2 linked regions of the Ovis aries genome follow. Each later gene encodes a partner of the first gene's protein in a complex. Links are inferred from orthologs where the notes say so. Each region holds a gene or a part of one and is shown on either strand. Other genes may lie near its edges. The genes, in order: PRMT5 and WDR77.

Region 1 (16,025 bases):
GCACAGAGTCGGACACGAATGAAGCGACTTAGCAGTAGCAGCAAGGATGTAATGTAGAACATGGTGACTATAGTTAACATTGCTGTATGATGTATAGGAAAAGTTGTTAAGAGAGGAAATCAGAAGAGTTCTCCTCTGAAGGAGAAACATTTTTTCCTTTCTTGTTTCTGTATCTATATAAGGTGATGTTAGCCCAACCTGCTGTGGTAATCATTTCACAAAGTATGTAAAGCAAACCATCATGCTGTGTGCCTTATACAGTGAGGTATGTCAATTATTTCTCAATAAAACTGGGAAAAAATGAAAAACAACAAATCCAAAAATAGTAGCTTGTGGAGGAGGACTGTTAAGGTATTGCTATGAGAGTGACTGCTGAAGATCGACAGCTAGAGGGTCCTACAGAGGAGAGAGACCTTCGATAGGTCTTCAAAAGAAAGAAGCAGAAAAACCAAGGAAAGATCACAGATTATATACATGTTGAAAAAAATGTTTCCCATATAGTAAGAACATGCTTACTATAGAAAACTTGGAAAATACATTTTCTCTGCACATACTGAAGTTATTCTGTATCATGAACATTTCTCTATATGATTAAATTTTCTCTGACAACATTGATTTTAATGGCTGCTTAAGATTTCATTGCATGGATGATTTATTTGACCATACCCCTAAAGGATATCCAAATTGTTTTACATTTTTTGTAATCACAGAAAAATGTCACACTAAGCATTTCTCTTAATGTCTCTGTCCTCAGTTCAGTTCAGTTCAGTTGTTCAGTTGTGTCCAACTCTTTGCGACCCCGTGAATCGCAGCACGCCAGGGCTCCCTGTCCGTCACCAACTCCTGGAGTTTACTCAAACTCATGTCCATCGAGTCAGTGATGCCATCCAGCCATCTCATCCTCTGTCGTCCCCTTGTCCACCTGCCCCCAATCCCTCCCAGCATCAGAGTCTTTTCCAATGAGTCAACTCTTCGCATGAGGTGGCCAAAGTATTGGAGTTTCAGCTTTAGCATCAATCCTTCCAATGAACACCCAGGACTGATCTCCTTTAGGATGGACTGGTTGGATCTCCTTGCAGTCCAAGGGATTCTCAAGAGTCTTCTCCAACACCACAGTTCAAAAGCATCGATTCTTTGGTGCTCAGCTTTCTTCACAGTCCAACTCTCACATCCATACATGACCACTGGAAAAACCATAGCCTTGACTAGACAGACCTTTGTTGGCAAAGTAATGTCTCTGCTTTTGAATATGCTATCTAGGTTGGTCATAACTTTCCTTCCAAGGAGTAAGTGGCTTTTAATTTCATGGCTGCAATCACCATCTGCAGTGATTTTGGAGCCCAAGAAAATAAAGTCTGACACTGTTTCCCCATCTATTTGCCATGAAGTGATGGGACCAGATGCCATGATCTTAGTTTTCTGAACGTTGAGCTTTAAGCCAACTTTTTCACTCTCCTCTTGCACTTTCATCAAGAGGCTTTTTAGTTCCTCTTCACTTTCTACCATAAGGGTGGTGTCATCTGCATTATCTGAGGTTATTGATATTTGTCCCAACAATCTTGATTCTAGTTTGTGCTTCATTCAGCCCAGTGTTTCTCGTGATGTACTCTGCATATAAGTTAAATAAGCAGGGTGACAATATACAGCCTTGACATACTCCTTTTCCTATTTGGAACCAGTCTGTTGTTCCATGTCCAGTTCTAACTGTTGCTTCCTGACCTGCATATAGGTTTCTCAAGAGGCAGGTCAAGTGGTCTGTATTCCCATCTCTCTCAGAATTTTCCACAGTTTATTGTGATCCACACAGTCAAAGGCTTTGGCATAGTCAATAAAACAGAAATAGATGTTTTTCTGGAACTCTCTTGCTTTTTCCATGATCCAGCGGATGTTGGCAATTTGATCTCTGGTTCCTCTGCCTTTTCTAAAACCAGCTTGAACATCTGGAAGTTCACGGTTCGTATATTGCTGAAGCCTGGCTTGGAGAATTTTGAGCATTACTTTATTAGCATGTGAGATAAGTGCAATTGTGTGGTAGTTTGAGCATTCTTTGGTATTTCCTTTATTTGGGATTGGAATGAAAACTGACCTTTTCCAGTCCTGTGGCCACTGCTGAGTTTTCCAAATGTGCTGGCATATTGAGTGCAGCACTTTCACAGCATCATCTTTCAGGATTTGCAATAGCTCAACTGGAATTCCATCACCTCCCCTAGCTTTGTTCGTAGTGATGCTTTCTAAGGCCCCCTTGACTTCGCATTCCAGGATGTCTGGCTCTAGGTGAGTGATCACACCATCGTGATTATCTGGGTCATGAAGATCTTTTTTGTGCAGTTCTTCTGTGTATTCCTGCCACCTCTTCTTAATATCTTCTGCTTCTGTTAGGTCCGTACAATTTCTGTCCTTTATCTAGTTTGTGAATATTGTCTAGGATAGCTTTCTAGAAGGAAAATTAGAGATGGTATGTCTTAAGGCTAAGATCAAAGGCTCTGAGTCAGTTGACCTAGGTTTGTACCCCATCTAAACCCCTTCTTAGAGGGGCAAGTCACTTAACTCTCTAAGACTTAGTTCCTTTACCCATAGATTAACATTTCCTACATCACCAGGTTCTTGTGAATGTATAGTGCTTTTCATAGAACCTGACACAAAATAAGGGCTCAATAAATGTTAGCTGTTATTATTATCATCAGTTGAATTCATATATTTATTACACACGAGCAACTGGTCTATTTCTAGACTATTAGTTTAGCCTTTTTACTCTGTCTCTTCTTGTACCCACCGCACATCGTGGCCTTTTACTTATTTATACATTGCTTGTCTCATAAAGGGTTTGAAGTAATGGATTAAAAATGTAGAGCAAATTCCCTCTCCTTCCTCCTCTTTAAAAACTTTTTTCTTTGCTTTCTTGTCTGCTTTTTCTTAAAAGAAAAAAAACACAAACGCAACAGCTAAGTTGCTTCACTCGAGTTTTGACTCTTTGTGACCCCATGGACTATAGCCTACCAGGCTCCTCTGTCTATGGAATTCTCCAGGCAAGAATACTGGAGTAGGTTGCTATTTCTTCCTCCAGGGGATCTTCCCAAACCAAGGATTGAGCGTGCATCTCTTCCATCTACTGCATTAGCAGTCAGGTTCTTTATCACTAGCGCCACCTGGGAAACTCATCAGTGCATGGTAGAATCATTTAATAAAGTAAGAAAAGATTCCATTAGAATTGTGATTAAATGTAGAAAAAGTGACAAACTATTAAGAACTGACATCGTTATAAGATTCATTTTTTTCTAAGACCATGGCTTGTCTTTCCATTTTTTCAGTCTCTCTCTCTCTCAGCAAAATTTTAGGTTTTCTATATATAGTTTCTTCATATTTTCCACTAAGGTTACAGCTAAGTATTTTATGGTGATATTATTGTTACCTCTGTGAATGGGAAAGAAACTAATCACAATAGCTAATGTATACTGAAAGCTTCCTATGTGCAGAAAGGTTCTAAATGCTTTACAGTATTAACTAATTTAATGTTCATCATAGCTTTATAAGATAACTATAATTTACATTTTTATTTTGTGAATGAAGAAACTGAGGCCAGAGGGATTAGTTCACATGGTTAGTAAATGGATAAATAGGGCTAACCTCTTACCACCTGGCTCTACTGTCTCTGACCTTAACTACCATGTTATTGGGATATTTTTATTAGTTATATCTTTTAACTGGTTATTCTTAGTTTATAAGAAGGCTAAGGATATGATTTTTATATTTGTCTTGTATCAAGTGGTGTCTCTGAATGCTATTACTAATTCTCATCATTTTTGAATTGGTTCTCATGGATTTTCTATATACACAATCATATCATCTGCAAACAATGATAAATTTGCCTCTCTCTTTCTAAAAGTTATAACTCCTTTTTAAAAATTTCCAGGCTTACTGTATTGGATTTTTTTAGAATAATATTAAATAACACAGTGATGAGATAAGACATTCTTGTATTATTTTATATTTACATGAATTGTTGACTTCATACACATATATATGTGTTTATATATAAAGAATATTAAGACTATTAAGAATGTCTTAGAGGAACTTCCCTGGTGGTCTAGTGGCTAAGGCTCCACATTCCCAATGCAGAGGGCTGGGGTTCAATCCCTAGTCAGAGAACTAGATCCCACATGTGGCAACCAAGACCCAGCCCATCCAAATAAAAAAATCAATAAAATAATTTTTAAAAAAACAATGTTTCAGAAAATAGAATTTACTTACCATGTTCTCTTTGATGACTATCACAAATGATCAAATTTTTTCTTGTTTGCTTTATTTTTGACCTATCATATAAATAAATTTCCTAATACCTAACCTGTGTTAGTTCCTGGGATAAACCCTAACTGTTTCTGGTATATTATTATTATGTTAATATACTATTGACATTTATTGTTAATCTCAAATATTATAGGATTTTTACATTTATATTCCTAAATTAGGTAAATCTATAGGTTTGCTCTTTTGGAAAGGTCCTCCTTCTGACAGGTTTTGATATTAAGTATATTCTGGCCTCCTAAACAATTGGGTAGTTTTCCATCTTTTTCTATGTTCCAGAACAGTTTCTACTTTCTATTCAGTTTGACAGATAAATACTGTATAATAGAGATGACAAGGAAGAGGATGCAAATTGGCACAGATTATTTTGCCTCAGTAACTCTGCTACTTTCATAGCTGGAGGACAGCCTTGATTGTGAAGAAGCAATTTGGAGCAGTAGGAGGGTCAGACGGGCCATTATTTTGGTGTTGAAGAGTGCGGCTGGCTGGGCAGGCATAGAGGTGAGTGAAGGTGGGCCTGGGGAGGGAGACCAGTGTTGAGGGAGGAGGAGAGCCCAAGAGAAAGTGAAAGGAGAGTTTACAATTCACTGGCCGTGTTTAAATAAGGACAGAAAAACAGGAGCAGATAGAAGGACTGGGCAGCAGCTGAGGAATGCTGGAGGATTGTCTGGAAGGTGGGTACTCCTTTCCTTCCAGAAACGTTTCCAGAGCTCTGACCTGTTAGTCACTGGTTCCTGGAGAAAGCAACATTATTTCTCACCTACCAAATCTCTATCTTCCTTCCAGCAAAGGCCTACATGCTATAGCGTAATAGTGACTGACATACTTCTGAGCACAAAAGTTCAGCATGGAGAGCAGAGGAGAGGGAAGCAGAGGATAAGACAGAACTGATTAACCCTGACTTTACGCCTAGGCCAAGCCCTTTAAAAGGTTCTCTATTTCTTTTTCATTCATTCCCTTTTGCTCCTCTGTAGCTCATATAGACCCACAGTCTGTGCTGTTCTTTAAGACAAAGCAAAGTGTTGTAGGAGAAGTGGAGAGCAATGTGGTGTGGGATTACCTGGAATCGTTTGGCATCATGCTTGCCACATAGTAGAGACCATTTTGAAGGAAAAAACAAAGACATCTCAGATGAATGAAATTCAGCCAGTCTAAACTTACTTTAAGGTCAGTCAGAAATTCTAGGCTCTTTTGAACACAAAACCTTTAGAAAATTATTTTCACTGATGACAAAACTGACATTACGATTTCATAGATTTTCCTCTCTCCTTTTCATCCATGGATGGGTTAGTTAACAATCAACAGAACAGCCACCAGCCAGCCTGACATCAGGAGGAAGATGCCAGGAACACAGATGGTCCACAGCCCAGATAATTAGCTTTTTCTGAAGACGAACATCTCATAAGTCTTCTGTGAATATAGAGTTTGGTTGGGCACAGCTGGGGCAGAGAACAACAAGCAGGCTTTCCCAACAACTCTTCTTCTTCTTATAATGTCGGCAGAGAATCACCCACTTCCCGTCAACTCTCTACTCATAAGATCTTCAGGGAAGAATTCAAATAAATACTGTAGACACTTCACCTTAAAGGAGGGAAAAAATAACTCCCTTCTCCTTCAGTGTGGAATGTACATAGTGACTTCCTTCCAAAGAGTACAGGATGGAAGGGGTTGGGGGGGAGTGTAATTTTTCAGTGGAGAAACCTGATAAACACTAGTTCTACCAGGTCATAAAGTTCAATATTAACAGTCAAAAATTATGTTGATGGTATGTACTCTTGATATGCTGTGATGAAAATGGCCACTTTACCTCTGTGATCCTCCTCCCCCAAACCCATAACCCCAGTCTAATGAAAGACCCCATCAGACAAACTCCAGGGAAGAGATGTCCTTCAGCATAGCTTCCCTGGTGGCTCAGAGGTAAAAGCGTCTCCCTTCTATCTGGGTAAACCTGGGTTCGATCCCAGGAAGATCCCCTGGAGAAGGAAATGGCTAACCCATTTCAGTATTCTTGCCTGGAGAATCCCATGGACAGAGGAGCCTGGTGCTACAGTCCACGGGGTCACAAAGAGTCAGACACGACTGAGTGACTTCGCTTTCGCTTTTCTTTCTTATACCTAACCAGTATTCCTCAAAACTATCAAGGTCATCAAAAATAAGGAGTACCTGAGTAACCGTCACAGCCAAGAGGAGCGTAAGCAGATCTGACAACTATATGTAATACGGTATCCTGGATGGGATGGTGGGACAAAAAGAAGACATTAAGCAAAAACTAAGAAAATCTAAATAAACTATGGACTTTAGTTAATAATAATAATACATCAATTCTGGTCCACCAATAGTAATAAATGTATCATACTAATGTTAAGATGTTAATAATAGAGAAAGCAGTAGGAAGACATGAGAAAGCTGGCTGTACTGTACCACCTGCTCAAGATTTCTATAATTCTAAAACTGTTTTAAGAAATAAAGTCTAGTAATAATAATAATAAGATAGGGATAAAAGTACCTCCAACTCTTAAGCTCCATAGGCATTTTCTCATTTCTTTAGTTTTCTAACCTTTATCTTTTGGGGGCACGCACTAAATACATTGCACCCAGGGCTCCTTATTGCTTATCCTATCCACACCCATTCCGTATTTCTCAGAACTCTGATCCCTCACGGGCTACGTCATCTCATCCAGTCTCGTGGCTAAAGTCACTACCTCTCCTGGCGATTTCCAAATCTTGTCTGGCTCTGATCACTATTCCTCCAACTCTCTATTACACAGCGCCCCCTAGACGTCCAATTCAGCATTTCCAAACCCAAACCCTGATTCTCCCTAAAAGAGCTTCTCATTTCCTGTAGCACTCAAAGAGGCCAAAATCTTGGGCTTCAGCCGCAGACTTCCCTTATCAGGCTTCCTGTCCGTTGGTCACTAAGTTCTGTGACCTCCTGCCTCGGGCCTTCCGTATTGTGTTCTCTATCCATCCTCGCTGCCAGGCCCTCAACACCTCTGGGTCTTCAGGTTCTCTTTCTCCTCCCTATATCTTTCTTTGCTTCGTTCTTTTCCATCCCTGTAGCAGGTGTTCACAAAGAAAATGTAGAAATTCTCTAGAAAGGAAAATGTTGAGATTCTCTCAGGTCTCCGCCAGGCTGTTCATAACTCCTCTCCACTGTAATTCCTCACCATGAGTTTTTTTTTCTTTTCCTTCCTATCTTCAGTGTGTGTTTAGATGTTTATTTACTTTTTGTTTGTTTGAGATATAGAATAGAAAGGAGTTGGTGGCTAAATTGCCACAATCTATTAAAAAATATACTAAGGCCCATACAAAGCCCAATTTAGTCATTACCTCAATTTTCTCAGGATTTTGAAGGACCTAAATAGAGACACAAGAACCATCTTTGAATTAGGCAATGGAAAACGCTGACATAAAATGGCTGCAGAACGCAATAAAATTATGAGCTAAAAATGAGGGTAAGAGGAGATCATAAGGAAATTTAGAAAGGGAAGAACGGGATACTTTCAAAATACTGCTTATGACAGTATTGCATGGGATGCAACAAAAACACACGCGTCTCCCCGAGCCAGCCAGGAGTCGAACCTGGAATCTTCTGATCCGTAGTCAGACGCGTTATCCATTGCGCCACTGGCCCCGAGACGACTTCGCTGGCCCCAATGATGACACTTCAAGCTTATACTGCAGGGCTTCATGGGACGTGTAGTCTCTGCACGGAGTTCTACGAGTACACGAAGCATTATGGGAGATTAAGTTCGTCGAGAATCAGACCCTGAGATTGGTGACTGTTCCGAAGCCTCGCCGTACGTCACTGTGAAGCCCGCGGATTGGCGAGAAGAGCCACTCCCCACCCTTCCTCCTCCAGCTCTAGAGCCGTGGGAGACGCTCTGGTTGTTAAGGTGAAACGTCCCGCCTTCTGGGGGCTTTTTTCCGGCTTTGTGATTGGCTGCTAGCTTCAGGGAATCTCGGCGTGGATTGCGCGAGGGAAAAGATGGCGGCGATGGCGGTCGGTGGTGCCGGTGGAAGCCGCGTGTCCAGCGGGAGGGACCTGAATTGCGTCCCCGAAATAGCTGACACACTGGGGGCTGTGGCCAAGCAGGGGTGAGGGCCTGGACCTCCGCGAGCTGAATGCGGGGTCCGAACTCGGGGACCGAGAGGGACAGACCAGTCATCCCCGAGAGGCAGGGGTGAGGGGGTCGAAGTGGATGAGACCAGGGCGGGAGAAACCATTTAGTCCTTCGGGGGGAGAAGCCTCGGGCCCTGGAGCTTGAGAGGAGGGCGGGAAACTTATTGGGGGCGTGTGGTCACTGAACCCCAAAGTCGGAGGAGTTATCAAGTAAATTCAAAAAGGGGGCGTAGAGACCTCCAGGGCCCCGTGTGAGATTGGGAGAAATAGTTAGGAGGTTAGGGAGAGGAGAGTTAAACCATGAGGGGGGATACTTAGGCAGTACTGCTGCCGATCTGGATGTGACAGTCTCGGAAAACCAGTGACAGCAGAGTAGAAAGTCCACGTGGTGTGGATATTCATCTTTTCTCTTAACTCATCTTTTCCATGGCTGTGTCCTGGCGAGAAATTGAGGCACAGTGCAGCGGAAGTGATATGCCCCAAGGTTGGCTGAATTCAGCAGTCTAGTCGGGTCGCTGGTGGCAGCTGAAAGGGTTGTGCAGAATCAAGAGAGCCAGTCCAATTACTTGGATCTCTGGGCACTGCTGCTGTCTTTACATGACGATTCTGGGTCTGTCGCGGTTGTAGGTTTGATTTCCTCTGCATGCCTGTGTTCCACCCGCGTTTCAAGAGGGAATTCACTCAGGAACCTGCTAAGAGTCGGCCGGGCCCCCAGACACGATCAGACCTACTGCTGTCAGGAAGGGGTAGGGAGCATCCCACATGCCCCTTAATTATTAGAGGCAGTAACAACTTATGCTTTATCAGTGCCTTCCTCCTCTTCCTTTCTTCACTTGGATATATTGGTTCGCCCCACGGATATAGATAACTCCTTACCTACCTACTAAAAGCCTTAGTTCCCTATTCTGTCAGGCTCTCCTGTATCTGTGATAGAAAAAGTCTTTGTCTCATCTGTAACTCTATTCCCTGTTAAGAACTAGAAATTGAATGAGTAAAGTGCTGAACCTTATTTAGTCTTTGTCTTTCTTGGGTGGGGGAGTGCAGACTGGAATACACTAATTGTGGGAAAGCTTTCTCCATGGATTCGTCCAGACTCAAAAGTGGAGAAGATACGCAGGAACTCTGAGGCGGTAAGACTGACCTCTTCACTGACTAAATATCAGTAAACAAGTTGGGTGGGGAGAGCACTTTTTCCCCACTCTGTAACTTAGTAAATTTGATATAATGCAATTAAAGCTATTTGAGTTGCTAGCTCTTAACTTTATCCTTTTAATCTCTATTCCAGGCTATGTTACAGGAGCTGAATTTTGGGGCATATTTGGGTCTTCCAGCTTTTCTGCTGCCCCTAAATCAGGAAGATAACACAAACTTGGCGAGAGTTTTGACCAATCACATCCACACTGGCCACCACTCCTCCATGGTATGGCAAGGGCTTCCTTCCCTGCTGCATATTATGATAGTCAGGCTGTGCTAAGTATCTTCTTGTTCCTAGCCATTCAGTGAAGGGTGCATTTGGGAGAACTGAAATGTCAGTACTGCCTACCCACACTAAGAGTGGTGAGCAAAGTATTATAAAACGTATAGAATATCAGTTATTTCCCACAACTTCTAGAGATAAAAGACAACATATAATCACAAATTGGGAATAGGATATAAGGGGATTAGCTTGAAATCTGGATCAAGATCTTTTTAATTGAAGGAAGCTTTCTGGACCCAATGGGTTCAAAACAGTTCTAAATAGGGTGTGGAACCTATTTATTGTTCATGTGCAGTTCTGGATGCGGGTGCCATTGGTGGCACCAGAGGACCTGAGAGATGATATAATTGAGAACGCACCAACTTCTCACACAGAGGAGTACAGTGGAGAGGAGAAGACATGGATGTGGTATGTTTCCTTTTGCCACTGTACCTGGGGTGGAGGGAAGTACAGAGTGGAACCTGTAGGAAGGTCTCCCTGAGGTGTGGTGATTAGTGGGCCGTATGTATTTGATGGAGCTTCCCTGGTGGCTCAGACAGTAAATGGTCCGCCTGCAATGCTGGAGACCTGGGTTCAATCCCTAGGTCAGGAAGACCCTCTGGAGAAGGAACTGGCAACCCACTCTAGTATTCTTGCCTGGAAAATTCCATGGACAGAGGAGCCTGGAGGGCTGCAGTCCATGGAGTCACAAGAGTTGGACATGACTGAGCAACTAACTTCTGTGTTTTAACTCTGCACAGGTGGCACAACTTCCGGACCTTGTGTGATTACAGCAAGAGGATTGCAGTGGGTGAGTCCACAAAGATCCTGGGATAGGTTATCCTTCTCTGAAATCCTGTGACTAAAAATCAGGAGTCTCATGTATACTTGGCTGCTGGGGCATACTTTCTCCATGCTTTAGTCTGCCTTGCTCTTAAGGAGGAGACAGATCTTGCACAAAAGAGCATGCAAAGATTCTGGCCTGTATGATTGACAGGTCTTTGTTTTCCCTTTTGTAGCTCTTGAAATTGGTGCTGACCTCCCATCTAACCATGTCATTGATCGTTGGCTTGGGGAGCCCATCAAAGCAGCCATTCTCCCCACCAGCATTTTCCTGACCAATAAGAAGGGATTCCCTGTTCTTTCTAAGATGCACCAGAGGCTGATCTTCCGACTTCTCAAGGTGTGTAGTGGAAGGGTTCTAAAGGTGTTCCAGTTAATCTTGTTTTACTCACATATGTGTGATGGGATTTTTTTTTTTTTCTTTGTGGGGCTGATTCTTCCTCTCTAACTTCTGGAGCTCAATTTCAGCAAAGTTGAGGGCCTTGAGAGCAAAAGGACAAATAGCAGTAGAAGCCCCAGAACCATTTCAAAAGGAATCGGGTATCATGAGAACTTTGCCGAAAGTTTGATGTAAGAAGTTCCAGCAATGATTCATGGGGTCCCTGGGGCCAGGGTGATGCTTATGTGGTATAGGAGGGCTCCTGTTGCTTTTGTTGGTATTCAGAGGTTATTTGGTGATTTGGGCCTTATTTTATGCTGGAACTCTTTGGCCATAAGCTTCAATAATGTCCTCTTGTTTCAAGGACTGTGTCTGATGGCCTACTTATTCTCACAGTTGGAGGTACAGTTCATCATCACAGGCACCAACCACCACTCAGAGAAGGAGTTCTGCTCCTACCTCCAATACTTGGAATACCTGAGCCAGAACCGACCTCCACCCAATGCCTACGAACTCTTTGCCAAGGGTTATGAAGATTACCTGCAGTCCCCACTCCAGGTGGGTCTGGAGTGCACTAAGAGGATGGAGGTTGGGGGAGGAAATGTATCTTGAGAGTAGGTTCCATAAAATCTCACCGGAGCTCAGGAGACAGTGGGAAGGTTTTGGTGTTCTGGTGCATTGTCCTTGCCAAAAAGTGGCTAACTTACTCTGTCTTTTTCCTCTCATTCATCAGCCACTGATGGATAACCTGGAATCTCAGACATACGAAGTGTTCGAAAAGGACCCCATCAAATACTCTCAGTACCAGCAGGTACAGTGTGGGTCTCAGTGTCAGGCAAAGGGCTGGGGTGACCTGGGTGAAGATGGCATTATAGCCACAGGATCTTCCCTCCTTCCCCTCAGGCCATCTATAAATGTCTGTTAGATCGAGTGCCAGAGGAAGAGAAGGACACCAACATCCAGTGAGTGCTCTCTGCCTGATTCCCAGAGATGTGCATGCCTGCCTCTCCACATGTACAGTCAGCTTGACTGCTCCCTCTGTTTCTTAGAGTGCTGATGGTGCTGGGAGCAGGCCGGGGCCCCTTGGTGAACGCTTCCCTGCGAGCCGCCAAGCAAGCTGACCGGCGGATAAAGCTGTACGCTGTGGAGAAGAACCCAAATGCTGTGGTGACGTGAGTAGCAACCTTGATGCTGGGAAGTTTGGTCCCAGTGCCAGGTTTTCTTTCTTCTCCTGACTCGTTTCATCTGTTTCAGGCTGGAGAACTGGCAGTTTGAAGAATGGGGAAGCCAGGTGACAGTAGTCTCATCGGACATGCGGGAGTGGGTGGCTCCAGAGAAAGCAGATATCATTGTCAGTGAGCTTCTGGGGTCCTTTGCTGACAATGAACTGTCACCTGAGTGCCTGGATGGAGCCCAGCACTTCCTAAAAGGTGCCTCCAGGCTGGGGTGTACTGAATAAGGGGATTGGATTATCAACTGGGAAGGCTCAGTGGGGTTGGGGAGGGGTGGGTATGGCAGCAGCTTAGAAGAGGTTACAGAGTTTAGGGGAGGCAGGGCAGACTCGGGTCAGTGCCCTTAGCAGGTGACACAATCTCCCTGAACCTCGGGTGTGAGTGTTCACATCTGTAAAATGAGGGGAGCGGACCAGAGCAGAAACTTTAAAAAGGTATTTATTTAGTCATTTGTGGCCGTGCTGGGTCTCCGTTGCTGCGTGGACTTTTCTTTAGTCAGGGAGAGCGGGGGCTACTCTCCAGCTGCAGTGGAGAGCATACGCTCCAGCATTCCTGGGCTCCTCATCGCAGTGGCTTCTCCTGTTGCAGTGCACAGGCTCTGGAGCGCACGGGCTCAGTTCCTCCTCTGCGTGTGGGATCTTTCCAGATCAGGCATTGAACCCTTGTCTTCTGCATTGGCAGAGGGACTCTTTACCACTGAGCCACCAGGAAAGCCCCCAGAGCAGAGATTCTTAGTCTGAGATCTGTGGATTCCCTGAACTGCCATGACATGTACCTTGGACTTAGCTTTCATCATTAACTCAAAGGAAAGAGAGTTAAGGACCATTAGATTAGAATACTTTGGGTTCCTTCCGGTTTTACTCTTTTGTGACTCTAAATTAACCTGGAAGTAGAATGCCTTAGGGTATGAGCGGGGCGGGGCGGGGGGGGGGGCAGGGTGGCCTGGGCATGTGACAACATGGAGCTGCCTGGGTCTCTCTTGATGTGGGAGGTCTGGGCCTTCAGTACAGATGCACCATTTCCATCCCCTGGGAAGTAATGTGCCTCTTCTGCTCTGCAGATGATGGTGTGAGCATTCCTGGGGAGTACACCTCCTTTCTAGCTCCCATCTCCTCCTCCAAGCTATACAATGAGGTCCGAGCCTGTCGGGAAAAGGACCGTGACCCTGAGGTAAACAGCCACTCTCTTCTGGCGGTCTCTTCTCTCTTTAATGCTTTTCTTTTTTTCTGTCAGCATAACTTTCATTCCACTGGAAGAGATGAAGAGGTGAAGGAGTTGAGGATGTGGGAAAGTGACTGAAGTGAACCTACGTTTTTATCTTTGTCTGTGTCCTTAGAGCTTAAGCTGCATTCCCTGAGGAATTAGGTAGCTCTCGCCTGTCGTCTTCAGATATCATTTTCTCTCTCTTGGGACAGGCCCAGTTTGAGATGCCTTATGTGGTACGACTGCACAATTTCCACCAGCTGTCTGCACCCCAGCCCTGTTTTACCTTCAGCCATCCTAATAGAGGTGGGTTCCTGCATGGCTGTCCTCTGACTGAATGGGGAGCTCACCTCCCTGGTTTCTTCCGTTGCTGTCCTGGGTTTAGCTGGCCTCTTATCTAGGCTTTCTTTCCTGGTTCCTGCTTATGCTTTACCAAGTTGTCTAGGGTTTCTGGTTCCTCATCACCCACACAGCTCTTCCCTGACAGATCCTATGATTGACAACAATCGCTACTGTACCTTGGAGTTTCCTGTGGAGGTGAACACAGTGCTACATGGTTTTGCAGGCTACTTTGAGACTGTGCTTTATCAGGACATCACTCTGAGTGAGTGTCTGGGGCAGTGGATGGGGGTTTAAGAGTATGCTACCTGGGCAGCTTATGTATTTAATACATGTTGCATTTATTTATTTATTATTTTTTAATATAAATTTATTTATTTTAATTGGAGGTTAATTACTTTACAATATTGTATTGGTTTTGCCATACATCAACATGAATCCGCCACAGGTATACACGTGTTCCCCATCCTGAACCCCCCTCCCTCCTCCCTCCCCATACCATCCCTCTGGGTTGTCTCAGTACACCAGCCCCAAGCATCCAGTATCATGCGTCGAACCTGGACTGGCGATTCGTTTCATATATGATATTATACATGTTTCAATGCCATTCTCCCAAATGATCCCACCCTCACCCTCTCCCACAGAGTACAAAAGACTGTTCTATACATTTGTGTCTCTTTTGCTGTCTCGCATACAGGTTTATTGTTACCATCTTTCCAAATTCCATATATATGCATTAGTATACTGTATTGGTGTTTTTCTTTCTGACCTACTTCACTCTGTATAATAGGCTCCAGTTTCATCCACCTCATTAGAACTGATTCAAATGTATTCTTTTTAATGGCTGCGTAATACTCCATTGTGTATATGTACCACAGCTTTTTTATCCATTCATCTGCTGATGGACACCTAGGTTGTTTCCATGTCCTGGCTATTATAAACAGTGCTGCAGTGAACATTGGGGTGCACATGTCTCTTTCAGTTCTGGCTTCCTTGGTGTGTATGCCCAGCAGTGGGATTGCTAGATCATAAGGCAGTTCTATTTCCAGTTTTTTTTAAGGAATCTCCATACTGTTCTCCATAGTGGCTGTACTAGTTTGCATTCCCACCAACAGTGTAAAAGGGTTCCGTTTTCTCCACACCCTCTTCAGCATTTATTGCTTGTAGACTTTTGGATCGCAGCCTACATGTTGCATTTAGAGTCAAAAGGAACTGAGCAGTCAGTGAATGGAGATCTTTGATGACTTGTTTCCATGTTTACAGATGAGACTGTCCTCAACCTAGGCAAAAAACAGAGTCATGGAGACCTCATTTTGTTGTTGTTAATTTTTATTGGAATATAGTTAAAACAATGTTGTGTTAGTTTCAGGTGTACAGCAATCAGTTATTCTCAATTTTTATCATTATTTTGTCCACTTAGGTATCCGTCCAGAGACTCACTCTCCCGGGATGTTTTCATGGTTTCCCATCCTCTTCCCCATTAAGGTAGGTATCACCTTAAGGCTCCTTGGGTTAAAAAGTAACTTATGGCATTGATGTTCTGCCCCTTTCCTTCTCCCAGGATAATGCTTGGCTGTGACCCTTGTTCTGCTGTTCTCACATGCATTTGTAGACGTTGGGATATTTGCAGTGGCCTTCCACCTGGCTTCCCACATCTACTTAGGCTATTCTTCTGTTCATTCTGTACCTGGAGCAAGAGTCATCGTATAAAAGCACAAATATGATCCTATCTCTGTCTCCTGCTTCTAAAACCCTTCAATATCTTTCCAGTTCCCTTAGGATAAAGTCTGTTTTATTATTGGCCTTGGCACATGGCATGTGGGATCTTAGTTCCCTGACCAGGGATTGAACCCACGCTCCACACAGTGGAAGTGCAAAGTCTTAACCACTGGACTGCCAGAGAAGTCCCAGGATAAAGTCTTAAATCTTCCTTAGACTTGGTGTGATCTAGTTTTCACCTGCCCTTTCAGCTGCTGTCCTTTGTTTACATCCCTTCAGTCCTTGGACCTTCTTTTGGTTCCTCTAATACCCCATGTTCTTTCCTGCCTCAGGGTTTCACACTTTTGTCCTCTGCCTATAAAGTTCTTGGCTCATTTTCTGACCCAGGTGACTTTATCTTCCAGGTCTTACTAGACATTCTTATTGTCA
Region 2 (15,469 bases), on another chromosome or scaffold:
TTCTGCTCTGCTGGAGTCCAGACGGAGGCCGGAGTGGCTGACCTCACTTGGGTAGGGGACCGAGGTATCCTAGTGGCTTCTGATTCAGGTGGGTCACTTGCTCCTCAGCTGTACAGGTGGAATGGAGGTCGGGCTGGGCTCAATTTTTAATGTCCCATACTCGGTGAAGGGATTCCAGGTGAGATGCTTCAAATCCTAAAAGATGATGTAGTTAAAGTGCTGCACTCAATATGCCAGCAAATTTGGAAAACTCAGCAGTGGCCACAGGACTGGAAAAGGTCAATTTTCATTCCAATCCCAAAGAAGGGCAATGTCAAAGAATGTTCAGATTCACACGATTGCACTCAATTCACATGCTGGCGAGGTAATGCTCAAAATCCTCCAAGCTAGGCTTCAACAGTATGTGAACTGAGAACTTCCAGACGTTCAAGCTGAATTTAGAAAAGACAGAGGAACCAGAGATCAAATTGTCAACATCCACTGGATCATAGAAAAAGCTAGAGAATTTCAGAAAAACATCTACTACTTCATTGACTTATGCTAATGCCTTTGACTATGTGGATCACAGTAAACTGTGGAAAATTCTTAAAGAGATGGGAATACCAGACCATTTTACCTGATAAACCTGTATACAGATCAAGAAGTGACGGTTAGAACTGGGTGTGGAAAATTAGAACTGGACAGGTTCCAAATTGGGAAAGGAGTATGTCAAGGCTGTTTATTGTTACTCTGCTTATTTAACTTATATGCAGAGTACATCATGGGAAATAACAGGCTGGATGAAGCACAAGCTGGAATCAGGAGAGAGATCAATAACCTCAGATATGCAGATGACACCCTTATGGCAGAAAGTGAAGAGTAACTAAAGAGCCTCTTGATGAAGGTGAAAGAGGAGAGTAAAAAAGCTAGCTTAAAACTCAACATTCAGCAAACGAAGATCATAGCATCTGGTCCCGTCACTTCATGGCAAATAGATGGGGAAACAATGAAAACAGTGGCAGACTTTATTTTCTTGGGCTCCAAAATCACTGTGGATGGTGCCTGCAGCCATGAAATTAAAAGACGCTTGCTCCTTGAATGAAAAGCTACAATAAACCTAGACAGCGTATTAAAAGCAGAGATATCACTTTGCCCACAAAGGTCCAATATAGACAAAACAACTTTTTTTTCTAGTCATGTATGGATGTGAGGGTTGGACCATAAAGCAGGCTGAGTGCCAAAGAGTTAATGCTTTGGAACTGCAGTGCTGGAGAAGACTTTTGAGAGATCAAACCAGTCAATCCAAAAGGAAATCAACCCTGAATATTCTTTGGAAGGGCTAATGCTGAAGCTGAAGCTCCAGTACACTGGCCAACTGATGCAAAGAACCAACTCATTGGACAAGACCCAGATGCTGGGAAAAACTGAAGGCAGGAGGAAAAGGGGACGACAGAAGATTTGATGGTTGGATGGCATCACTGACTCATCAATGGACATGAGTTTGAGCAAACTCAAGGAGTTAGTGAAGGAGAGGGAAGCCTGGTGTGCTGTAGCCCATGGGGTCACAGGGAATTCGATGTGACTTAGAGACTGAACAATAGCAACAACATACTCCTTGCTTGGGGGAGCTTGAAGGTTTTGGTCCCAAAGGAGAATAACTGTGTGGGTAGGATATACCCGTCCCAAGATTCCAAATTGGTGGAAATTTCTAGCAAAATTCATAACAAAATTAAGACATGAATGAAACTGTTTTTCTCTGTATCCACCCAACATCAAGGATGATATTGATCTTAAAGATGATGCTGAAACCAGTCTATGCTCTTTCCATTTCTTCCCAGTTTCTTACATGTCTTCATTCTGCTTTCTTTGTTTTGAATGTCAGACTTAGTGGAAAAACCAGTGGAGGGTTTCATGTTTAAAAAAAAAAAAGAATAGAGGTGTTGGCAGGCATTGCATGGAAGGATAAAGCTGGGACAATTAATGTCCAAATAACTGGGACTATTTAATAATACTAAACTGTGTGCTGTTCATATCATTGTGGAGGTGTCATCCTTGTCTCTCAAGAACTTAGCATCCTAGAAGTGAAGTGCTGTCTTGGTGTAACCCCAGCTTGTTTCCTTCACCGTCTTCCCCACCCTCAACAGGTGCTGTTGAATTGTGGGAGCTGGATGAGAATGAGACGCTTATTGTCAGCAAGTTCTGCAAGTATGAGCACGATGACATCGTGTCTACAGTCAGTGTCCTGAGCTCTGGCACACATGCTGTCAGTGGTAGCAAAGACTTCTGGTGGGTCCCCACTCTCATTGCTCCTGTTTCTGGGCCTTCTTTGGGTGTCTTAGGTGTCACATTAGCCTCACTAAGTAATGTTTTGGGCTCATTATAAGAACCCAGTGACTAATTATGGCATACCTGTAAGGTTTCTTGGACTTCCCTGGTGGCTCAGACGGTAAAGCGTCTTGCTTACAATGAGGGAGACCTGGGTTCAATCCCTGGGTCGGGAAGATCCTCTGGAGAAGGAAATGGCACCCCACTCCAGTACTCTTGCCTGGAAAATCCCGTGGACAGAGGAGCGTGGTGGGCTGCAGTCCATGGGGCTGCAGAGAGTCGGACAGGACTGAGCGACTTCACTTTCACTTTCATAAGGTTTCTTATAGGGTTTTCTTAGAGATTTTCAGTCCATTGTAAAAGTAGACTGTACTGGTAGTCCCGTAGACGACAGAGATGGAGGAATACATATTTGAATACGTGTTTTTATGTATATAGTATAGGTCAAATGAAGTCTCTGTTTCCTTTGCTTCTTAGCATCAAGGTTTGGGACCTTGCTCAGCAGATGGTTCTGAATTCATACCGAGGTGAGTGCATCTTCTTTCCTTTTTAGTCCCTGTTGTAGCTATTCTGTTTTTATTCTCTCCTTTGTGCTCTTTGAGCTTTCCTTGGATGTCAGTGACACCAATTCTTTGCTCTCCTGCCTGGTAGTTTTCTTCCAAAACTATGGTCAAGTCCCAATGTCGACTCTAGCTCTTAATCTCCCTATATCTTTTTAATCGATAGGCTCATCACCTTCTTGATCACCTGAGGCTCAAACTCTCAGTCCTCTTCCACTCCTCCTTTTTCCTTCTATCAGTTGGTCCCCAAGTTCTTTGGAATTCTTTTCCATTTGGTCGCTGACCTTCCTTTTCATTTCTTATGCTCCCGTTTACATTCAGTCTTTCTCTCGCCTAGACTGTGGTACTCATGTCATCTCCTGACCTGTCATCTTTGGCCTTTCACTGGTTTCTTGCAGCTTGCAGGTTGATATCTCAGGTTTGTGTCATGGCATTCAAGCCTCTTTACTGTCATTCCTCCTTCAAGCATATCGTGCTACCTAAATCCAGTCACAGTACATCTGAGGCATTCTTCAAGTATAAACTCTGATACTCATGAACCTTGAACTTTTTGAGTATTCCTATCCATAAATTCTTGTTTTTGGAGGATGAGAGCCATCATTTTCTATTAACTTTCCTCTTTTTGCTCACTTTCATTAACAGCAGTAGCAGTTAACTTTGTTTGGGGAGCCATTCTTCATGAAGATACCAGATCTTAATGAAGATAATGTATAGGGCATTAGTGTATGTGTGACTGAAAGACGTAGACATAGGTGATAACTAGTTCCCTCACTGCCTATCTCTGCCAATTCTAACTGCAAAGTGTATGATTCAGATACGTGCAAAGCAAAACCACAAACTCACACGTCTCCTGGAGTTTCAGACAGTTAGATAATAATGTTAAAATGCCAGTGTTCAAAGTCTACTATATTAGCCTTTTCTTTCATAGACATATGATATGCTTTTCTGGCCAATGCTAAATAAACACTTGCTCCTTACAGCCTTTTTTATTAGTTCTTTTTTTTTTTTTTTTCTTAATTTAAATTAAAAAAAAAATTGAAGTATTGTTGATTTACTGTGTTGTGACAGTTCTTTGTGTTTATTCGTATTCCCCCCACTGATTTCAGGTTCCCTAAAGGCAGAGGCCCCACGTAGCTTTTCATCTTTCGTCCTCCCCGATGGTGCTTGCCCCAAAGCTTTCTTTCAAGTGAGCAGTACATTCCTGTTCTTAATGCTGGCTTTCCGTGGATTCTGTGGAAGGTGGCTTGAACCCACACTTCTATCTCAAGGCAGAGCCACATCTATCTTAGACTATGGTTAAATCACTTTGGAGAAGGTGGTTTCCACAGCCGGTAATTAACATTTAGAATGACCTTTAACATTCTTAGCGTGCAGCCCTAAAAGAATTTTGAAAAACTGTACCCTTTCAAATGTTTTTAAATTAGTACCTAAATACTTGTGTTCGTGGTGTGGCCAAGAAAGGTCAGCCTCCTTCACAGAATTTTACCCAGATGCTCTTTCTTTTCTTCTTTGGCTCTTACAAAAACCCTCTTTTGGTTTATTATTTAGGTTTTTATGCTCTGAACATCACACCACGATACAGTTTGGGGAGGAGGAGAGGTGTGTGTTTCTTTTACACATGGGAGACGGGTGACTGAGAGTAGAGGTCTGCAGTGCTGGCAGACCACAGGCAGCTGCTTGGTTTGGTATGGGGAGAGAACTTTGGAGAAATGCCCTTAAAACTCCGAGTGTCCAGGACTCCCTTGCAAGTCTTCGCACGCTACCTGGAGGCACGTGTGCTTGTGCTGTCTAGGCTGTCTCTACTGTAAATCCCTCTACTGATCAGACTCAGCCTTTACCATTCATGTCTTTCAGTTCTGTTCCATTCAGTCGCTCAGTCGTGTCCGACCCTGTGACCTCATGGACTTAGTACGCCAGGCTCCCCCGTCTATCATGAACTCCTGGAACTTACTCAAACTCATGTCTACTGTAGCCGTTCATTTTCCTGCAAGTCTACTGAGGTTTTATAATGCTATCAACATTTCCTCTTAGGTATCCAGACTCTCATGGAATTTCTTCATTTGCATCATTTGACTAGCTAGGGCTAGTTCTCACAGCCTCCCTCCTACCCCGTCATAGTATCTGGGCTTCTTGATAAGATTGCTTTCATCTCCTCTGTCATACTTCTTGTTCTCTCTCCTCTACAGCTCACTCAGGGCAGGTCACCTGTGTTGCTGCCTCTCCCCACAAGGATTCCGTGTTTCTTTCATGCGGTGAGGTAAGATATAGCGGCTTTTCCCCTTCCCATCCCTGACCACACTCGAACCCTTTAGACCTAAGTCTAGCATGGACAGCTTCTGGCCAGCAGCTATTTTTGGATTGTGAAGCCCTTTTTCTATTCCTTCTTCTAGGACAATAGAATTTTACTGTGGGATACCCGCTGTCCAAAGCCAGCATCACAGATGGGTGAGTCTGAGAGCTGGTGGTGGGATGATGGTACTAGGAACCCACCTGGAAGAGACCTCCCTTGGCCAGAGTCAAAGGCAAAGCTACCAGATGCCCAGTCACTGACATGAATGATCTAATTGCTTTCTTTCCCACTGAGGTTCATGTTGTGCAGTGGGTCCCAAGAGGAAGGGCTAGTTCTTGAGGGTGGGTGTAATTGATATTTCCTGGATGGGCGAATAAAGGGGCCAGAGTTGTCAACTTCATGCTTTACGTTGAAACTTGCCTGTGACTCAGGTCTGGAAAGAGCAGGAGGCTGATAGGTTGTGAGGGTCAAGAGTGAGGATGGGACTGCCTTAGCAGAACTTGGGAAACTGAATTAAGGTGCTCCTGGGATTTAGAGTGACTTCACCACCAAAGCTTCTTCTCAAAGCTGAGGTCAGAGTTTTGTTCCAGACCCTTCTTCTCTCCTTCACAGGCTGCAGTGCCTCTGGCTACCTTCCTACCTCCCTGACTTGGCATCCTCAGCAGAGTGAAGTCTTTGTCTTTGGTAAGGCAGCATGTCCAACTGTGTGTTGACTCTGGGAAGGGGAGAATAAGCAAGAAAGACACTCCATGGTGCATGGGGCTCTGGCTGCTCAGTCTGTCAGCACACTTGAGCTCTCAGTGAAGTACGCTAATGGGTGTGTGCAGAGGTAGGATGAGCCAAAAGTCGTTTTAGTTCAGCTTTAAAGAACATGGTAATTTTTATTCTAGAAGATTTGATTCCTGATTGTTTGCTGTGGCTCTTACATTCACGGCTAGAAGTCAATGGGCCACAAAGCAAGAGGACTGTTACCTAGGGAATCCTATTGTATAGTAGGGAATGGTTATGCTAACATGGTGATCTGGCTGTGTATTCTGTGATGTAGTTTGTAGTTAACACAACAGTTATCTCATCCAGTAGTTTTAATTTTCACAACCCTCAAATGACTAATTATTCCTACTTTACCAAAGCGGAAATGGATGCTCAGAACAGTTAACTTTTTCAAGATTGAAGAACCAGCATTCAACTACAGATCTGGCTAGTCCAGAGTCCATTCTCTTAACCCCCTTAACATACTGCGTCTTCTTCCTTCAGGTGATGAGAATGGGACTGTCTCCCTTGTGGACACCAAGAGTGCAAGCTGTGCCCTCAGCTCTGTTGTGCACTCCCAGTGTGTCACTGGGCTGGTGTTCTCCCCACACAGGTACTGCTCTTTGTCATCAAGGGCCTGGTAGATACGAAAGGGAAGAGTGAGGGAGAATACTTGTGTTGGCATAGCATTAGCTGATGGGTAGTTCCTTAAAACAGACACTGTTTTAGCTGAAGACCTTAATAAGTGAAAGATCTCTTAAGACTGTAGTCCGTTTTTTGTGTTGTATGGTCTCTGACTGCAAATGGCTAAAACACGGTCTTGTTCCTGCTCAGCACCCCAAATGACTTATGCTGTGGGCTTCTAGGGCTGTGTGGTTGGAAAGCCTGTGTTTCTGGGTTATTGCTGAAGCTACAGGGAGGCACCAGATGGGATGGTTAGTTGCAGGGATGGCTCTCTGTGCTAGCTTTGCTCCGTTTTCCTCATCTTCCCTTGAAACTTGTACTGTAGACTTGGTAGTCAGGTTTTAAACCAAAGTGGGGATCAAGCTACCTTCTCTGGTCACTTTAGAGTGGGGTTTGGGGACTGCCTAGTCAAATTTTGTCCTGATACCTATGAACTGATCTTTTGCAAACTTCTTCTCTCCTAGTGCTCCCTTCCTGGCCTCTGTCAGTGAGGACTGCTCACTTGCTGTGCTGGACTCAGGCCTTTCTGAGGTGTAAGTGTGACACGGACCCTATGATCAGGAGTCATGGAGGGACCAGCAGATGGCTGGGTCTCTTTATCCTTGGGAAAAGCACGTTGTCTCTTTCAGGGAGACTTGGTGATGGAGGCAGGCTAGCTGTTGACTGTCTCCCTGTTCCAGGGCCTGACTCCCAAGCTCTGGGCCTGGTAGAGGAATGTGGTGTTGGGTGGGATTCCTAAGCCTGGCATTCCAGTGATCTCTCAGAAAGGGACACTGTGTGCTTTTTGCACCAAGTACCACGTGTAGGAATGCAGCCTGCTATAGGATAAAAGGCCCCAGACACAAGATCTGAGGGTACTGCCTTCTTTGCCATGAGATGCTGTCTGACCCTGACTCACATCATACCCTTGCTCTAGCTGTCATTTCTTCTATGAAAATAGGGCACTGGATTGGATGATGGAGTCGTCTTTGCCTGGCTACACTGATGGCCTGATGACTAGGTCATATATATGGTGAAGTGGGTGCTTTCCATTTCTCCTTTTTTCTTCTGTCTCTTACCAAGCCCACACTTTTCTTTGTTCTCTTGTAGGTTTAGAAGCCGAGCCCACAGAGACTTTGTGAGAGATGCTACTTGGTCCCCGCTCAATCACTCCCTTCTTACCACAGTGGGCTGGGACCATCAGGTCATCCACCATATCCTGCCCACAGAACCTCTCCCAGAGCCTGGACCTAAGAGTGCTGCTGAGTAGATTGGATTTCAGACAAGAAGTGAATCCCCCATGAGTATCCACGCCCTTTGCCCCTGCCCTCTCAGTTTATGAGACAACAGAGGAGCCTTATGCAGTATGTTGGTACACCACATCTGTGCAGTTCAAAGGCGCTGTGTCTCAGCCTAGGGGAGGCTGGATCCTGGGGTCCTGTAGTCAGGGAAGAAAAATTCCCTTGAACATGGATGTGTGTGTGTGTCTGAGTGTGTGTTTAGATACGTAGTCTTTGTAGGTGGGGGAAGGGAGAAAAATATCCATCCCGTGTCTTCCCAGAGCCCAATCCTCCCCACGCCCTAAAAATTAGCAAGGGATTTTTATGCTTCCCGCTGTAGCTGTGCATTAGGAATTGGCCATGTCTGAGGTACGGGATGTGGGCATTCCTGGATTCTCGGAAACTGCTCATAGAGATAGGAGCAACTTTATTTTTTTATAGAGCTTAATTCAGCTTTATCATGAGCAGTACTTCCATTTACATCCAGTCCAGCCCACCTTAAGGAAGAGCCAGGACACTCACCACAGTTTTATGCATCTCCTTGTTATTAAACCGAGCCAGAAGTCCAGTTTCTGGCCGAATGAGAAGTTTGGCTGGTACCCATGTAATGCCCCTCACTGCCGCCGCCCCCGTGGAGTTGTGTTGATGAGGATGCATGTATTTCTGTCGTAGATGCCATAGAAGAGGTTCAGGATGGAGAGCTTAGAAGCGGTTCAGTTAAAAACTGACATAGACCTACATAGGGATGTCTGCCACCTTCCCACCTGAAAACAGCCTGGGGCCTGACCTTTTTTGCCTCTGGGTCCCTATCTCTGGACATAGGAAACCTGAATGCTATTTTGGGGGACTCTGAAGAGTTTAAATACAGCATCAGAGAGAGAAGTACCGGTCAGTGAAATAAAAAGTTGATTCATCGTTGGCTTGTCTTTTGAAGCATGTGTGTTATGTGCAGTTAGACATGTCACTTACATGAGTCATCAAGATATCTATCTTAGAGCCCGTTACTTTTTCATGTGCTTCCCCAGCCCCCCAGAGTAGCTAGTTGAAACTTAAGGTAAATATTTGTTTACTGAATTGGTGGCTGCTGCCACTTAGAAGTTATGGATCAATTACTGATTGTATTGAAACTAAATTAAATCAATTACGTACTTTTGTGCTTTGCAAGTTTTGTTTAGCTAAAATCTCATGAAACTGGGGTAGTTTCTTGGGTGAAGGATTTGTAAGTAAAGCTGCTGTGTTTCACCCTTGCTGAGCATGAGCTCTGGTCTCACAATTACCCTCAAGTAAAAACATGGGACTTTGTTATTAGATGGTCTACCTATTGGGTTTGGGGAGAGGTGAGAATGAAGCCTTCACTGTTCTTCCATGTGACTTTTTAGAGAGGTAATAGGGTGTGTTGATAGAAACTCTTTAAGTTCTTCCTGGAGATAAAAGCTTAAAATTTGTTATCTCTTAGAGAGAGTGAGGTAGGTAGGAATTAAATTTGCATAGGCCTGTTCCTCATGGACTTTGAATAGTGGAGAGAAAACTCAGTGAATGAGATAATCCAGGGAAATGAATGTATTGTGTCAAGGTGGTTAAAATGACACCAAAGGAGAAAACCTAGAGTTTGAAGAACCACTTTACTTAGTGTGAAAAATATTAGGATTCAGATAAACCTGTGCTGATTCAGATAAACCAGAATAATTCCATCGATGGTCATCACCAAGACATTTGCAAATGTAATCAAAGTCATGTCAGAAATGAGCGTCCAGTTTTGGTTGACTGTGTCTACTATGGTGAGAAAGAAGATTGTTCAAGACAGAAGATGACCTCAGAATAATCAGAAATGTACTATCACGTGGGGTTATTCACTAGTCTTTTACTTGAGAATAGTTTCAGTAGCAGGAGCACAGGTTTGCTGATAACAGGTGGAAATGGGCTCATTTTGTTTTGTTTAAAACCATACAAGTATCTATTTTGTGCTTAATTTCACTGGTTCACATGTCTGAACACCTGCAGTAAATCTGTCTCCGTTTTCACTGTCTTCACTCAAGTCCACTAACCTGGTTGACCGTATACCACTGCTGATTTCTAGTGCTCAGAGCAATAGACACAGGTTGGCTCAAGTACTGTTTCAGGTAGCTCCAGACATCAGGTTCATTCTCCAGGATCTGTCCTGCCCCACAAGACAGTAGGAGGCTTGTCTTTAATTATTAGCTCTGTAGGCATTACCTGCTGGTTCACAGTCTCACTGAGGCAGCAGAATCACCCAGGCTCTGACTGGGCGTCTAGTCATATGTACTCTGGGCAGTGTGGTAGGGCACAAGATGGGGAGAGCGAGAGTGGGAAGATGTATATTGTTATTTCCCACTCACTCAGTTACAGAGGGCTTCAAAACTTCCTTGCCACCTCTAGACCTAAAAATGGGCTCTGAGTTTTTAAAAGGCAGATTTGTGGCATTTGGACAGCATAAGCAATATTAGTATTTCCGTGGTTGCTTGACTTGTATCTATAAACTAAAAGAATAGGAAAAGAAAAAGAAAAGCTCATTCCAAATTGTTATGTAAGCATTTCTTTCAGTAAGATATACACCGAATATTTGTATGCAGTCTAGGGAAGTTTTAGGGCATCTAAGGAGAGCCAACAGAGTGTGAAAAGCTGAAAGAATTCACATCAAGTTGCTGTTTATACATCTGGGTCATACTGAACTTTAGAATCACTTGTGCCGGGAACTGATTTTGTTCCCCAAAAGGGTAAGGAAGCTCTAATCTGATTTTTGAGGTGACTAAAGTTTCTGACGAGCATCAGCAGTCTATATAGCTTGATTTTGGAAGAGTAAGCAGACCAGTTTTGAACCCCAACGTTTCCTTACTGAGTTCTCTTACCACAAATGGATAGCTGTGGAGTTTTTCATCTTCATTATGTGGTTATAGGACGTGTACTATCCAGAGAGTGAAGGAGGTGCAGAGATAAGGACAGGAAATGTTAACTCATTTTCAGTTACAGAGGCATTTAAGGTACAATTGCTGATCCTAAAATCTGTGTCGTCTGGAGTAGTAAGGTTTACTGTAGTCCTCAACGTATTCTGAAAACTCTGCTTGTCTTGTAAATGATGTTCTGCTGCTTCAGTGTATAATAGATCATCAAAATTCAAAAGGTCAGTAATAAAGGGCTTCACCTCCAAACGTCATCCTTTTAACTTTCTGGTGTGAGCTCAGCTGGCGCTGCTGGGTGAGAGTTCCTTCAGTGAATGTAGATGTTTCATTATCACTGTGATGTTGGGTATCAGATGCTGGTATACTTCACTTTGGGATGAACCACGTTATATGCATTAAGAGCTTCAATTTTAAGCCAAAATTTTCCATTCCAATAGTAACCCTTATCTTAGGTGAAAGGAATGAAGCTTGTTTGAATTAGAAAAGTGCTTGACATGTACAACCTAAATCCGCTTCAAGCTCTGCAGATTTTTAACAAGCAACTTGTGTCTCACAGAAGCCCTCTGATTAGGTCAGAAACTACCTGATGTTCAGTCCCCTGACCATTATCCAATGTCAGTTTGCCTGGCAGAGTTTGCGTTAATACCACCCTTGACTTCAGCACCTAGAGACGCAGTCTCTTGTGCCCAATGCCAACCCTGGGCCCCTGTTGCAGACTCCACTTGGCAAGGTCAATGTGTGCCTTTTTGTTTTCTCTCAGTTGTTTTTCAAACAACATTAAAATACAAAATTTTAAGTGTATAATTCATTGGCATTAAGTACATTTATGTTGTGCAACCACTATCCCTCATCCCAAATTGAAACTTTGTATCCATTAAACAGCTCTCCCAGACCTTGGCAACCACCCTTCTACTTTCTTGTCCATGAATTTGACTGTTGTAGGTGCTTCATATGAGTGGAATTATACAGTGTTTCCTATGTGTCTTATCATTTGATTTGCTAAGCTGTTGCCTTGCTCCTCAAAATGTGGTCCATGGACCAAGCAGCGTTGGCATCATCTGAAACTTGTTAGAAGGACCAAACATTCACACCACCGAAATCAGAGTTTATATTTTCACAACGTCCCCAGTGACTCCTGCATGTTAAAGTGGGAAAAGGACCAACTTTGATTATGACCCCCTGAGAATTTTAGATGGTCAGGAACCAGGCAGGGACGTCACCAGCAGTACATGAGAGGAGAGTTTGGTGTGTCAAGCTTTGGGGCTTTGTGATGTGTGGTAGTGAGCCAGATAGACATGGTCAGCTCAGCCTGCAGCAGCTAAGTCTAGAGAGAAAGAGACAGGATGGAATTAGTGTTTTAGCGTTAGCCAAAAAAAAAAAAAAAAAAAAAGACTGCTGGAAAACAGAGATTGTAGCCAGTCATGAAGAAGTAAATCTTCCCTGATGAAGTGACATTTGGATTGAGTCCTAAAGGTTGAATGTGGAGTCGCTGTTGCTTGGGGCTGGGGAAGAATTCCAGACATGTGAGTCTTGCTGTGGAAGGAGCTTGGAGTTCCCTAGAGAAAGAGGTATTGCAACTAGGGTTAAATGGAGGTGGAGGGTACAGGATAAAAGATGAGGCTAGTTGCCACTGGATGGTGGGTGCTGTGAGCCATGCTGAGGATCTCAAAGCAGTAACATGTTGGAAGTGCTTTTGAAATGGATTCCATTGGTGTGCTTTGTGGAGGGGAGACTATGGAAGCTTAAGGGTGACGAGGTTTTTATGTATTTTTTTTCTTTGATCTCAGCCACTAGGGTGTAGGCAGCTGAACTAGACTTGGCCATTTGGCTGTTCCCATCTGGAATAGATGGAATCTATTAAATTCTTAAATCTGGAGGCAGAGCTGCAAAGATTTAAAGAATGGTTATCTGGCAATGACGAGGATAGCTCAGTAGCAGCAGCACCAAAGCCAGCAGTAGAATTCCTAACCAGACTTCCCATGGCAGGACTCTGGCGATGTTGTGTGTGTGTGTGTTTTTTTTTTTTTAACTTGAAGGATAATTGCTTTACAGAATTTTGTTGTTTTCTGCCAAATTGTTGTTGCTGTTTTTAATAAATATTCTTTCTTGGATCCTGACTATGTTTTAAGATAGATTCTTGATATTGAGCTGTATGAACTGTTTATAAATTTTGGAAATTAACTCCATTTGCAAATATTTTCTCCCTTTCAGTAGTTTTTTTTGTTTGTTTCATTTTGTTGACTTCCTTTGCTGTGCAAAAGCTTTTGATTAGGTCCTATTTATTTTTGCTTTTATTTCTTTTGCCTTAAGAGACAGATCTAAAAATATGTTGCCATTTATGTCAGAGTATTTTGTCTGTTTCTCTTCTAGGAGTTTTGTGGTCTCAGGTCTCACATTTAGGTCTTTAATCCATTTTGAAGTTATGTTTGTGATCGTGTTTGAGAAAGTTCTAATTTCATTCTTTTACATGTAGCTGTCTAGTTTTGTCAGCACCGTTTATTAAAGTGACTATCTTTCCTCCATTGTATATTCTTGACTGCTTTGTTGTAGGTTGACAAAATATGTGGATTTATTTCTGGGCTGTCTATCCTGTTGCATTGATCTGTGTGTCTGTTTTTGTGCCAGAACTATACTACTTTGATTAATGTAGCTTTGTAGTATGGTCTGACATCATGGAGTATGATACCTCCAGCCTAGTTATTTTTTCTCAAGATTGCTTTGGCAACTTGGGTCATCTCTGGTTACTTGTTCTTAGTTCTGTGAAAAATGTCATTGGTATTTTGATAGGTATTGCATTACTTCTTTAGAGTCCCTTTGGTAATATGGACGTCTTAACGTGTTAATTCTTCTAGTCCAAGAACATGGAATATCTTTCCATTTCTTTGTGTTGTTTTCAGATTCCTTCATCAGTGTTTTATAAAGTTTTCAGAATGTATGTCTTTCACGTCCCTGCTAAGTTTATTCCTAGTTATTAATACTTAATTATTTTTGATGTGATTGCAAATGGAATTATTTCTCCTTAATTTTTCTTTACTTCTGTAATTTTCATTATTACAAACAAAGAACCCAATTAAAAGTGGGCAGAAGACTTGGAAAGACATTTTTACATAAAGATATTTAGATGGCCAACAGGCACATGAAAAACAGCTCAGCATCACTAATTATCAGAGAAATGCAAATTGAAACCACAATGAGATGCCACCTCACTCCTGTCAGAATGGGTTATCACCAAAAAGTCTACAAATAACAAATGTTGGTGAGGATATGGAAGAAAGGAAATCTTGGTACAGTGTTGGTGGGATTGTGAATTGATGTAGCCATTATGGAAGATAGCATGCAAGTTTCTCAAAAACCTAAAAATAGAACTACAGTAGGATCCAGGAATTCCGCTCCTGGGTATGTATCCAAAGAAAACAAAAGCACTAATTTGAAAAGAATCTTGCACCTTAATGATCAGAGTAGCATTATTTACAATAGTCAAGGTATGGAAGCAGTCTAAATGTCCATCAATAAGTGAATCCGTCCATGGAATTTCCCAGGCAAGAATACTGGAATGAGTTGCTGTTTCCTTCTCCACAGAATCTTCCTGATCCAGGGATCGAACTGGCGTCTCCTGCAACGCATGCAGATTCTTTATAGTCTGAGCCATCAGAAAAGCCCGAATAGATAAAGAAGCTGTCATATGTTTACATACAATGGAATTTTACTCAGTCATAAGATGAAATTCTGCCATTTACAACAATGTGATGGACTTAGAGAGAATAGTGCCTGGTGAAATGTTAGATGGATAAAAACAAATACTCTTGTTATCACTTACAGGTGTAATCTAAAAAATAAATGAATACCAAAACAGACAGACTTGCAGATATAAAAAACAAACTAGTGGCTACATGGAGAGGAGGAAGAGGGAGGGGCAAGATAGGGGTATGGGATTAACAGACACAAAATACTATGTATAAAATCAATAATCAACAGGGACATATTAGCACAGGGACATAGAGCCATTCTTTTGTAATAACTTTAAATGGGCTCTAACCTGTAAAAATATTGAACCACTGAAACTAATATTATAAATCAGCTATATCTTAATAAAAAGAAAAAAAAAAGACTGGTTGTACAACATGCCCATTGATTCCAACAGGCTTCCCTCTTAGTTTGTTTGCAGTGATTTAGCCAGAGTTGCTGTCTGTTGTTTACAACTCCACCACCCTGACAACTACTGTCTTGGTCAGTGGGGAACAACTGACCCTCACGAAGAACAGCTCGTGCATGTTCTGTGAGGTTGGAAGTGAAGTAGCTGTTGTCAAGGGTTATGGAATTGTTCTGCGAGCTCACCACTGTCATCAGGAAGAACAGCCTCTCTGTTGGTTTCTGTGAAGGGTATTTGTTTTTCTTGTTCTGATTGTGCTCTGCTGATTCCACCTCCCCTTCCCCAAGAGTCTTTCTGGTCCCCTTCCATTCTGTGTGCTGCCAGAGAGGCTGAGTAGCTGCTTATTACCGTGGACTTTACTAATAGTGTAGCAGGTGCGTTTGGCTGTCTAACATCTATTTCCCTCCTTCAGTCTTTACTAACAGAACTTTGATCTTATCCAGACACAGGTGGCCCTGTCCTATAGAGAAGGAACACATTAGAGAAGAATTTGGGTCTTGGATGATGCTGCTGAACAACTGAATTAAGCAGTGCTGATTAATCCACCTCTTCTG

What was found.
Region 2: PRMT5 (region 1) and WDR77 share a complex: the UniProt entries of both Homo sapiens proteins name them as parts of the methylosome complex. The link is inferred for Ovis aries from reciprocal best matches to the Homo sapiens genes PRMT5 and WDR77.

Annotation. Positions count from the first base shown.
Region 1 is NC_056060.1:21,725,851-21,741,875, forward strand, and holds the start of PRMT5 (protein arginine N-methyltransferase 5), read left to right. Parts: upstream 1-8,276; 5' UTR 8,277-8,290; coding exon 8,291-8,400; exon of another isoform or gene 8,401-8,427; coding exon of another isoform or gene 8,428-8,486; intron 8,487-9,052; coding exon 9,053-9,171; intron 9,172-9,469; coding exon 9,470-9,555; intron 9,556-9,710; coding exon 9,711-9,845; intron 9,846-10,197; coding exon 10,198-10,310; intron 10,311-10,642; coding exon 10,643-10,692; intron 10,693-10,900; coding exon 10,901-11,064; intron 11,065-11,499; coding exon 11,500-11,661; intron 11,662-11,836; coding exon 11,837-11,914; intron 11,915-12,006; coding exon 12,007-12,065; intron 12,066-12,152; coding exon 12,153-12,275; intron 12,276-12,357; coding exon 12,358-12,533; intron 12,534-13,395; coding exon 13,396-13,505; intron 13,506-13,750; coding exon 13,751-13,844; intron 13,845-14,025; coding exon 14,026-14,142; intron 14,143-15,297; coding exon 15,298-15,362; intron 15,363-16,025. UniProt on the Homo sapiens protein: Arginine methyltransferase that can both catalyze the formation of omega-N monomethylarginine (MMA) and symmetrical dimethylarginine (sDMA), with a preference for the formation of MMA.
Region 2 is NC_056054.1:88,856,369-88,871,837, reverse strand, and holds the end of WDR77 (methylosome protein WDR77), read left to right. Parts: coding exon 1-88; intron 89-2,123; coding exon 2,124-2,265; intron 2,266-2,781; coding exon 2,782-2,831; intron 2,832-5,050; coding exon 5,051-5,121; intron 5,122-5,254; coding exon 5,255-5,309; intron 5,310-5,766; coding exon 5,767-5,838; intron 5,839-6,408; coding exon 6,409-6,517; intron 6,518-7,052; coding exon 7,053-7,121; intron 7,122-7,677; coding exon 7,678-7,837; 3' UTR 7,838-11,666; downstream 11,667-15,469. UniProt on the Homo sapiens protein: Non-catalytic component of the methylosome complex, composed of PRMT5, WDR77 and CLNS1A, which modifies specific arginines to dimethylarginines in several spliceosomal Sm proteins and histones.